Linked DNA regions of Xenopus tropicalis. The protein of the gene in region 2 interacts with the protein of the main gene of each other region in a pairwise test. Links are inferred from orthologs where the notes say so. Each region holds a gene or a part of one and is shown on either strand. Other genes may lie near its edges. The genes, in order: kiz, tacc3 and cib3.

Region 1 (3,656 bases), on a different chromosome or scaffold from region 2:
TGCTTGTTTAAGAACTCATCCAGGCCCCTCTTAAAGGCATATACAGAATCTGCCATTACATCATCACTTGGAAGGGCATTCTCCAACCTCACTGCTCTCACCATGAAAAACCCCCTACAAAGCTCTGTTCCTCTAATCTAAAGGGGGAAGGGGCTCAGGTGCGTTGATACTTTTTATGGGGAAAAAAGAACACCCCCTATCTGCCTATAATCCCCTCTAATGTACTTGTACAGAGTAATCATTTCCCCTCACAAGCGCATTTTTTCCAGAGAAAACAACCGCAACCCTGACAGTCTAACCTCATAGTTTAAATCTTCTTTCTCCTTTACCAGTTTAGTTGCAGTTTCTGCACTCTCTCCAGCTCATTAATATCCTTCTTAAGGATTGAGGGCCCAAAACTGCACTGCATACTCAAGGTGAGGCCTTACCAGGGACCTATAAAGAGGCAATATTATCTTTTCATCCCTTGAGTCAATGCCCTTTTTTTATACAAGATGGCACTTTATTTGCTTTAGTAGCCACAGAATAACATTGCCTGGAATTAGACAATTTGATATCTACAAAAACCCAGATCCTTCAATTAAGGACACTACCTACACACTACCATTTAGTGAATAGTGCCTTTATTATATACCAGTAACTATACCTGTTACTGGTATATAATAAGAAATGAAAGAAAAGACTGATTTTTTTCTTTTTAAATTAAAATATTTGTCAGCATAATTTCTGTGTGTGTATATAGGTTTCTAGGTGTATATCAGGTCAATCGGCCCCTTTAGGTAACAAAATATGCTACATTTTGATGGGCTAATAGTTACATCAGTTACATCTTAATTGCGCCGTGACAAATCTCCGTTGGCGCAGGCAACTAATCTCCCCGCAATGCCATCCCACCGGCTAGAATGTAAATCCCCGGTGGGATGGCATACACAGCGCCGCAATTTGCCAAGGTTGCCAAAGTTGCCCTAAGCTTAGCTTCTCAACAGCATGAGTGCAGAGCGCAGCGAGCATGGTGTTGCTGACACTTTTGACAGACTGCAATAGGGTAATCCCCTGTGACAACTTTGAAGGCCTGGATCATTACTGTTATACGTTTAGGCAGGTTCAATAAGTTCAGTATATAAAATATGGCATTTCTAGCCATATTCATTTCTAAAAACTTAGTGTAAAAACTACTCGTGGCACAAACCTTAAGCAAAAGATAAATTGACTTTGTTAAACTTACTGACTGATTGTAGAGGAGGAAGAAGACTCATCACATGAAATTACTTCTGTTGTTTGGAGGTACTGTATGGTAGGTGTTTTTTCATTATTCTTTAGTACAAAAGCCTCTTGTTTGGATAAAGCTGTATATGGGTTTTTTCCATCATTCCTTTCGGCTTCTACACTGACTTCACCAGGTGGATGGGAATCATCCTCTGATTCACTAATAGAAACTGTAAGGTCACTGCTGCTGTCGAGACATTCATTGCCTTCTTCTTCATTGATAAGGTGGCTTTCAATCGTATCTGTAAAAAAATAAAGTAAAGTCACTATTATTTCATTTTACAGCACCTAAAGACATCACCAGAACCCAAAAAACAAAAAAAAGACATAAACCAGAGGTTCTCAAACCCAAACTTCTTTGGGTCATAGGCTTAAGGACAATAGGATACTATTATAGCTGTTGACTTTAATAACCAAATATTAAACCTTTATAACGTCTTGAATTTAGGTCCTTAGGGCCTTTATTCAGGAAAAGGAACTCTGAGGAAACTACATATACCCCATACTGTACAGGATGGAGTATGTTATTTCTTATAAAATACAAATATGATAGATTAAAAAATGTAAATTTAAGTTTATATTAAATATAGCCTTCTAAATGGTGCTCAGTGATTTCATACATCCTAACTTGTGTTTAGTGATGTTATGTGTCACGTAATTCACTGTAATGTATGTATTCTATGACAGAATTCACCTTGTAGTTACTAAATAAATAAATGGCACTGTGCTACTGATACCTGTATTTGATGCCTAAGTCAAGCCAAGCAGTATGGAGGCTGCTACTGAAACACTATGCACAAATATATAATAAAAGACATGTAACAGCATTTAGGGAAAGAAGAAATATTACACTATTACACTATATGCATAACTATCAACATATGCAAAAAAACATGCTTGCTTTTATGCATTTTATATGCACAGTTACACAGATAATTATTGATAAGGGCATATAGGTTTTTGTGTGTATAAATCAATGGTTGTCTGCTTATTTGCAGATATGAATGGATTGTTGGTTGTGAAAGCTTTGATATTATGATCATTGTTGAATTAACAAATTTTCTGTTACAGCATGCATAGGGCACCTATATATACAGAGCTGTATAAATACATTAATAATACTGGCAGCCAGGAATACTATCAGATGAAAAAGGTGCATGGTCTGAAGCTGGCCATACACAAGATCTGCTTGTTTAACAAGCTGCCAAACAAGAGCATATTTGTCCCATGTGGCAACCTAAATTATGGGCCAAGTCGCAATGTTACATTAGTAAAGTAATGGACAGAGACCTTTTACCACACTTCTTCCTTGAACAGTAAGATAGGTCACTTATTAAAATATAAATTTGGTTAAGTCTTCTGTCAAAAAGTAAGAAGTATTCCTTAAAGGAACAGTAACACAAAAAAATTAAAGTGTATAAAAGTAATTACAATATAATGTACTGTTACCCTGCACTGGTGCAACTGGCGTGTTTGCCTCTGAAACCCTACTATAGTGTATATAGGTATGGGATCCCTTATCCGGAAACCCGATATCCAGAAAGCTCCAAATTACGGAAAGCCTGTCTCCCACAGACTCCATTTTAATCAAATAAATCAGATTTTTTAAAATTGATTTCCATTTTCTCTGTAAAAATAAAACAGTGCTTTGTATTTAATCCCAACTAAGATATAATAAATCCTTACTGGATGCAAAATAATCCTATTGTGTTTAATTAACATTTTATTATTTTTTTAGTACACTTAAGGTATGAAGCTCCAAATTACAAAAAGACCCGTTATCCAGAATACCCTTGGTCCCGAGCATTCTGGATAACGGGTCCTATACCTGTATAACCAAAGCTGCTGTGGAGTCATGGGGGCAGCCATTCAATGGAGAAAAGGCACAGGTTACTCAGCAGATAACCGATTACACCCAATTATATTCTACAGAGCTTATCTGTTATCTGCTTTGTAACCTGTACCTTTTTCCAGCTTGAATAGCTGCCCCCATGGATACACAGCAGCTTATAAATATAAACTATAGTAGCAGTTCTGTAGCAAACACACCAGTTGCACCAGAGCAGGACAACAGTACATTATATTTTAATTACTTTTAAACTCTTTAATTTATTAGTGTTACTGTTCCTTTAAAGTAAAAAAAAAGTAAGAAATTGGAACAATGCAAAATATAGAAAGAGAAATTTGAATAAAGTGAAAGATGAAGAGGTGTGAGATTGGATCAAGTATAAGAATGACAGAGGAAAAAGAATGGGTGTGTCAGTCACTGTCACTATCAATAAAGCTTATTCTACATTTCATGCCCAATTTTGGGCGATTCAATGGCAAACAACTCAAGGTCTCACTTGCAGCAAACAGGCCCTGAAGGCATAGTTGTAATAAAAAAGCCT
Region 2 (3,756 bases):
TTTTGAATGCTTTAATAGAATATACCTGTTAAATGAATGCTTTAATAGAATATACCTGTTAAAACTTGCCTTCCTGTCAATTGCACTACAGTGATACGGCGAAGGAAGGAGCAGCATCCACTGTGCGACGATTGATGAGTCTAGCCTGACTCCTTCCTATACAGAAGGAAGGCTAGGCTCGATCAACCGATCGTCGCACAGTGGATGCTGCTCCTTCCTTCGCCGTATCGCTGTAGTGCAATTGACAGGAAGGCAAGTTTTAACAGGTATTTTCTATTAAAGCATTCATTTAACAGGTATTTTCTATTAAAGCATTCAAAATAATGATAAATCCTCTCCACCCTCTAGATTTCTTAAGCCTCCACTAGGGAGCCCAGATGCCAGGTAACATTTTACACAAATTCTGCAGCTTCAGGAAGAATATCAAGCATGTCGGCCACACCCACGTCAATGGAGGTGCCAATTTATAAACTTCAGATGAGGTTCTTCATGCACACTGGCATAGGGTGGTACCTACCCACCATCTCCTCCCAGCTATCCCCTGCCCCCCCTACAGACTCCATGAACAAGCAGTAAATCACTCTTTAGAAAAGTTCTCTACTGTCTATTCAGTCTGAAAGCCTGTATAGGGCACCGGGGATGGCAGACACCCACCCTGAGCAATACAACCCCAGTCCAGGGTATAACTAGACCCCCAGGGTGGCAATGCTTTGGTGGATTTTGTGGATTATACCTAGAGCTGGGCGGTATGACCAAAAATTTATATCACGGTATTTTTCAAAATTATATCAGTATCACGGTATTTGACGGTATTTTTTTTTCCAATTAACATTGGTGGCCAGGGCCCCTAAATATTGCTATTGAGACAATTAGTATTTAATCCACAGGGAACAAAGTTGAAAATATATGGAAAGGCTCGTGTTGGTACAATTCCTCAGAGGTTCTAAATCGGTATATGAAGCACTGCTTCATGCAGTTCTGTACTTGGAATGTGCAATTTTGGGAGGTTTGTACCAGTGAGGCGCAAGTAGAGGGAGCATGTAACCAGCTGTGACCAGCAGGAAGCTTTCCCCCCACTTTCCCCTTATAATTACGATTATTATTTATAAGCACCACCCCCCATACAGCAAGTTGGCCAGCGATGCGGCCCGTGCCGCTTCTGTTTGCGCCCCGTGCGTACTGACGTCATGTACGCACGGGGCGCAACCCGATCATCACCGGTATGGGGGTATTTCAAAAATGAATATCGTTTTTTAAAAAAAAAAAACTGTATTCGGTATTTTACGGTATACCGCCCAGCACTAATTATACCAACAAAATGAAATGCAATTGGTTGCAAGTCTGTACTGGGATTGAACATAGGCCCTGGCATTTCAGGTACACAGAGGCCCAAACAGCCCCCCAGCAGCCCAATAAATAGTGAGTGTCTATGGCACCTTATAGCAGCCCCTCTGGCATTTGCCAGATCCCATAGATTGCCAGTCTGGGCCTGATTTTCAGTACACAGAGGCCCAAACAGCCCCCCAATAAATAGTGAGTGTCTATGGCACCTTACAGCAGCCCCTCTGGCATTTGCCAGAACCCACAGATTGCCAGTCCAGGCCTGATTTTCAGTACACAGAGGCCCAAACAGCCCCCCCCAGCCCAATAAATAGTGAGTGTCTATGGCACCTTACAGCAGCCCCTCTGGCATTTGCCTGAACCCACAGATTGCCAGTCCAGGCCTGATTTTTCAGTACACAGAGGCCCAAACAGCCCCCCAATAAATAGTGAGTGTCTATGGCATCTTACAGCAGCCCCTCTGGCATTTGCCTGAACCCACAGATTGCCAGTCCAGGCCTGATTTTCAGTACACAGAGGCCCAAACAGCCCCCCAATAAATAGTGACTGTCTATGGCATCTTACAGCAGCCCCTCTGGCATTTGCCTGAACCCACAGATTGCCAGTCCAGGCCTGATTTTCAGTACACAGAGGCCCAAACAGCCCCCCAATAAATAGTGAGTGACTATGGCACCTTACAGCAGCCCCTCTGGCATTTGCCTGAACCCACAGATTGCCAGTCCAGGCCTGATTTTCAGTACACAGAGGCCCAAACAGCCCCCCAATAAATAGTGAGTGTCTATGGCATCTTACAGCAGCCCCTCTGGCATTCCCAGTACACAGAGGCCCAAACAGCCCCTCATAAGCCCAATAAATAGTGAGTGTCTATGGCACCTTACAGCAGCCCCTCTGGCATTTGCCTGAACCCCCAGATTGCCAGTCCAGGCCTGCTGGTTGCTATAGGTGACAGGACATGGATACCTTTGCATGTATAAGTTCGTAGAATTCCCAGACTACAGTTCCCAACCCTCTCCTCCTCACCATGCAGTGCAGTAAGGCCAAGGGGTCGCTGTGTATTAAATAGTAATAAAGCCATTACCCCAACCCCTAAGTAAATAGTCTTTCTGCCCAAAATCCAGACCTGCGCCCCTGTGACGCTGAACATTGTTAAATACCGACGTCGCTTAAACATCTAAACAATACGTGCGCCCCCTTTGCCTCAACAATCACGACACAGAAGTCAGTCATCGCCCGTGTATACCAGCCCCACCGATAGCAATAAGAACCCAGTCACAAACTACTTCGCCATATCCCCTCACCTGCGAGAAGAAGGCCTGAGCTGCCGGCACCGCGCTATTTAAACCTTTATGCACCCCGGCGGGTATCTGTGCAAGCCTGCTGCGCCTCAGACGCTTTTTGACCATGTACTTTTTTTGAATTTCTGAGTTTGGAAGAACCCGTCCAATCACAGCTGCCGAAAACTCCCTACGTCACGAACAGTTACGAATGAACCAATCACAGAGCGCGGGCTGTGACACGGGTTTGCGCGCCCCCGTACAGTGAGAGGCGTGACTGTGTGTGACGTCTTTGTTTTAGCGGGATCGCGCTTCCCTGTGTAATGGCTTACTGTTCTGCTTGTTGTCTTCTCATTTCATTCCCGCCTGCCACGTATCCTCCCCTGGGTTCTTGTGCTTTCTCCCACTTGTTTAATAAATATATGTCTAATATAAATACTTATTTTTGGTTATCACCAGTCACTGCTAGATTTAGTGTAAGGCAGAAATGGTGTTTGCCAGAATCTGAGAAGTCTCTTGTGAGGAATATATAATTGTGCTATTAAGGTGTCCATAGAAGTTCTGATTCTTGTTTCCTTCCAACAAATGTTCAGATAAAATTGTTGGATAAAGTCCGAAACATAAAATAATTGGCAGACAACAATTGTAGGGAAAGTGATGTCCTGGAAATGCACCTAAAGGTGGCCACACACATGGTGATCTGCGATCTTTCGCGATCGTCAGACCCGCCACTAACCTTCAGGGCTGAAACGGCAAATAAGGAGGTAGAAACAATAGGATTTCTACCTCCTTCTGCCGATTCAGCCCTGACAGCAGATTTTGCCTTCTATGGCGCCCGATCAAAATCTTTTGACCTGGCCGATCTGCGAGTCAACTGATATCAGCAGCCTCCTGCGATACCGGTCGACTCGCCAACTTGCCATACACGCACCGAATATCGTACGAAACGAGGTTTCGTGCGATATTATCGGTGCGTGTATGCCCAGCTTTAAGATATCGTCAGATACACAATTCAAGCACAGATTTTGTTGTTATTCTACCAAAATTTTCTAATCTGTCTGATTGACTAAACAACCAAGCACCACGTGGTCCAACAATTGGACGAAACTATGTGGGTGTATGGCCAGCTTTAGACATGGTG
Region 3 (3,656 bases), about 84 Mb from region 2:
AGCAATTAGCACTCACAGAAACGCTGCACTGACTTCTCTGTGCATTGTAAACATGTTCTTCACTATCAGACTTCTACGGAGACCAAGCTAAAATGGCAGCTGCAATCTCACACAAACAGAGGGAGCTTCAAGGGCTCTTTACTCAGGTATGGTAATGCTTTCTGCAGAATAAATAGAGTGTTCTAGGTAGCACTAATGTGGCTAATCTATTGGCAGTAAAATGCCAAAATGACTACACTGTGAATCCTGTGATCCCAGGAGGCGGCCCTTAATTCTTAAAATGGCAATTTTCTATTAAGGACTACCCAATAGCACATACTACTAAATAACTATATTTTATGAAAATGGTTTATTTAGATGAAGCAGGGTTTTACATACAGCATGAGCTACATTGTTTGGGGATATAGTTTTCCTTTAAGGAAATCCGTAAATTAATAAAGATAAGTTAAAGGGATGATTCACCTTTAAGTTAAATTTTAGTATGTTATAAAATGCCTTATTCCTAGCAACTATGTATGTAGTATATCTTTTCATTATTTATTTTTTATAGTTTTTAAATTTTTTTCCTTACTTTTACTGACCCCGACAGCCAAAAACTATTGGTTTGTGAGGCTACTAGTGCTACTTTTTATTACTTATCTTTATATGCAGGCCCTTTCCTTATCATATTCCCGTCTCTCATAGGGTAAATAAGAGCCTAGCAACCAGATAGCTGCTGAAATACCAAACTGGAGAGCTGCTGAACAAAAAGCTAAATAACTAAAAACCACTAAAAAAACAAAGACAAACTGCAAATTATCTCAGAATATCAATGTCTATATCACACTAAAAGTTAATTCAAAGGTGAACTCACCCTTTAACTATACATGGGACACCTTGATCTTTAACAAAATGTGTTAGATTGACTGTACTGTACCTGAGGAAATCTGGAGCTCTAACAATCATGTGCTGGAAGTCTTCCAGTGACAATTTTCCATCATTATCTACATCAGCCTCATCGATCACCTTCTCACACACCAGGCAAACTTCCTCAGGGGTAAGCTCATTCCGTGTTAGTTTGTTAAGTGTCTTCTCTAGGTCTGACTTGCATATGTAATCGTCATTATTAAAATCTGAATAAAAATAAATATACTCATTTTTGGAAGGCATATTGCAGCTGAATATTTATGAGGCAGAGAGATGTATGAAAAAACTGATGGGTTATTCCTTAACATTTTGTAGACCTTTTCTGGGGGTCTATTGTTTACATAACTGTAGCACCAGTGATTTTATTACTGTTGCAAATTGAGATATTAGAGCAGGGATCCTCAAAATATGGCCCATGGGTCGGATCCGGTCCCCCAAGGTAATTTACCCAGCCCCCGCTGTGTCCTCACCCCTGGTTACTACCTGTTTGCAGACGCAGCAGGGGAGCCGGAGGACATAGCGGGGGCAGGGAGCGGGAAGACACAGTGGGGAGTGGGCAAAAAGGGAGCGGGAGGACGCATTGGGGAGCAGGGAGACGCAGCCAGGTGAGCTGTAGTTTGAGGGCGTTTCAGGACTACAGTCCAGCCCCCCAACCCTACTTTTGCAAAACAGAAAGAATAATAAATTGAAAGCATAAATTCCTTCTCAACAGAACAGAACCAAAAGTGAACCAAACTGGGAGCACAAGTATGCATATATCTAGGGGCTGATTTACTAAGACACGATTTCAAATCCGAATTGGAAAAATTCCGATTGGAAACGAACATTTTGCGACTTTTTCATATTTTTTGCGATTTTTTCGGCGTCTTTACGATTTTTGCGTAAAAACGCGAGTTTTTCGTAGCCATTACGAAAGTTGCGCAAAGTCGCGATTTTTTCGTAGCGTTAACACTTGCGCGCAAAGTCGCGCCTTTTTCGTAGCGTTAAAACTTAAAAGGCGCGACGTTTCGCGCAAGTTTTAACGCTACGAAAAAATCGCGGCTTTGCACAACTTTCGTAAAGACGCCGAAAAACTCGCGTTTTTACGCAAAAATCGAAAAGATGCCGAAAAACTCGCAAAATTACTGATCATTACGAAAAAAACGCAATCGGACGCATTCGGCCCGTTCGTGGGTTAGTAAATGTGCCCCCTAGTGTGAGTGGGCTACTCAACATAAACACTTTCTTCAAGGAGATCAAGCACCAGTCATCTGTTTTCCTTATTGTCTGCCAAAACCATAACCCCAAAGTAACATCCACAGATGCAACCAGAATGATAAAGACTGCCAATAAAAACATAACTTACCATATATTTTAAAAGCATAGAAAGCTTTTAAGTCTTTGGGTGCCATTTCACTTAGTACTGAAAACATATCTAAGAAGTCATCCAATGTCATGTTTCCATCTCCATCCTCTGAAAAAACCTCAGCTATGCGTTGCCGAAAAGGATTATCCTGCCGAAGAAGAGACTGATGTCAGCCTTGGTAAATCAAAAGGAACCTCATTGATGTTACATTTTTTACAATCTAAAAAAAGTGTTTCTGTTATATTCTATATTTTCTGTTTTAGAAAACATTGTTATATTATGATACATTCATTTGAGAAAATACAGGTATAGGAAACCCATTATTTAGAAAGCTCTTAATTATGGCAAGGCCATCTTCTATAGAGGCCATTTTAAGCAAATAATTCTAGTTTTTAAAAATAACTAAGCTGCATAATTCCATATAAGAGTCAAACAGTCCAATTGGGTTTATTTATCGTTTAAAAAAACGCAGGTCCCAAGCATTCCATATAAGAACCTATACCTGTATCACCTTTTCTAGCTATGTTTTTCCCCGCAATTTTTTTTATTAGTGTTCAAGGTTCAGTCTAAAAGTAACAGGTGAATCAGAGTGCAGATTAGGTCAAATAAAATGTAACTGAGATGCAAAAGGCAACTTTTAACTTCACCAAGTATTTTGTTAGGCTTCAGTGATCTTCCCAAGTCATGCCAATTAGCACCTTCTGCATTATTAATGCAGCACCGGATTAGAGTGACATCTGGCAACCTTTGCCGTTGTTGCTTCTCTCGTGGTTTACCTTAAGCTCAGGCATACTGCCGATGAGCTCGTAAGGGATCTTCACATCTGGTTTATTTGTGTAGTCATCTGGAACAAGCTGTGGTGCCAAGTCCCGGTATCTGTTAAAAAGTCTTAATATGAAGAAAAATTGAGTACACATGTCGATGTTATTGAAATTCAGTTATATAACCTTTTCCTCTTGACTGCAGTATAAAGTGATACACTTATTGCATTAAAATACTTTGGTAAGTATATTGACATCACTTATATATTACTTCATAACATAAATGTGGTTACACTCTATAAGACAGAGGTAATTTTGAATGCTTATAAATGCATGTTTATTTTTTTACCAAGAGTATTAGATTTATTACATCCTCATCCGTTTAGTGGTGAGACAAACATTATATTTTATGAAGTAAAAAACGGCTGGAGATAAAAGCCTTTTTATTCTATTAAGACAAGTATCTTAAAATATGCACCCCCCCCCCCACCCTTTTGCATAAACACTTGCTGAACTCCCAAAAATACATATCAATCCATATATTTTACGCAGACATATTTGATTCCATAAAATAAATCATAATCGTCTGTGATCAAAGGGATCAGTTACCCACCCCACTCAGTCCTTCACCTTGTTGCACTGTG

The links.
Region 1: the proteins of tacc3 (region 2) and kiz interact in binary tests that used the Homo sapiens proteins (3 or more experiments, as listed by UniProt). The two-hybrid records come from large-scale screens. The link is inferred for Xenopus tropicalis from reciprocal best matches to the Homo sapiens genes TACC3 and KIZ.
Region 3: the proteins of tacc3 (region 2) and cib3 interact in binary tests that used the Homo sapiens proteins (3 or more experiments, as listed by UniProt). The two-hybrid records come from large-scale screens. The link is inferred for Xenopus tropicalis from reciprocal best matches to the Homo sapiens genes TACC3 and CIB3.

What each region holds. Positions count from the first base shown.
Region 1 is NC_030681.2:36,368,362-36,372,017, forward strand, and holds part of kiz (centrosomal protein kizuna), read right to left. Parts: intron 1,509-3,656; coding exon 1,226-1,508; intron 1-1,225. UniProt on the Homo sapiens protein: Centrosomal protein required for establishing a robust mitotic centrosome architecture that can endure the forces that converge on the centrosomes during spindle formation. Required for stabilizing the expanded pericentriolar material around the centriole.
Region 2 is NC_030677.2:20,375,134-20,378,889, reverse strand, and holds the start of tacc3 (transforming acidic coiled-coil-containing protein 3), read right to left. Parts: upstream 2,761-3,756; 5' UTR 2,640-2,760; intron 1-2,639. UniProt on the Homo sapiens protein: Plays a role in the microtubule-dependent coupling of the nucleus and the centrosome. Involved in the processes that regulate centrosome-mediated interkinetic nuclear migration (INM) of neural progenitors.
Region 3 is NC_030677.2:104,272,296-104,275,951, reverse strand, and holds part of cib3 (calcium and integrin-binding family member 3), read right to left. Parts: intron 3,140-3,656; coding exon 3,028-3,139; intron 2,400-3,027; coding exon 2,252-2,399; intron 1,113-2,251; coding exon 917-1,112; coding exon of another isoform or gene 850-916; exon of another isoform or gene 778-849; intron 1-777. UniProt on the Homo sapiens protein: Acts a an auxiliary subunit of the sensory mechanoelectrical transduction (MET) channel in hair cells. Plays a role in regulating hair cell MET channel localization and function.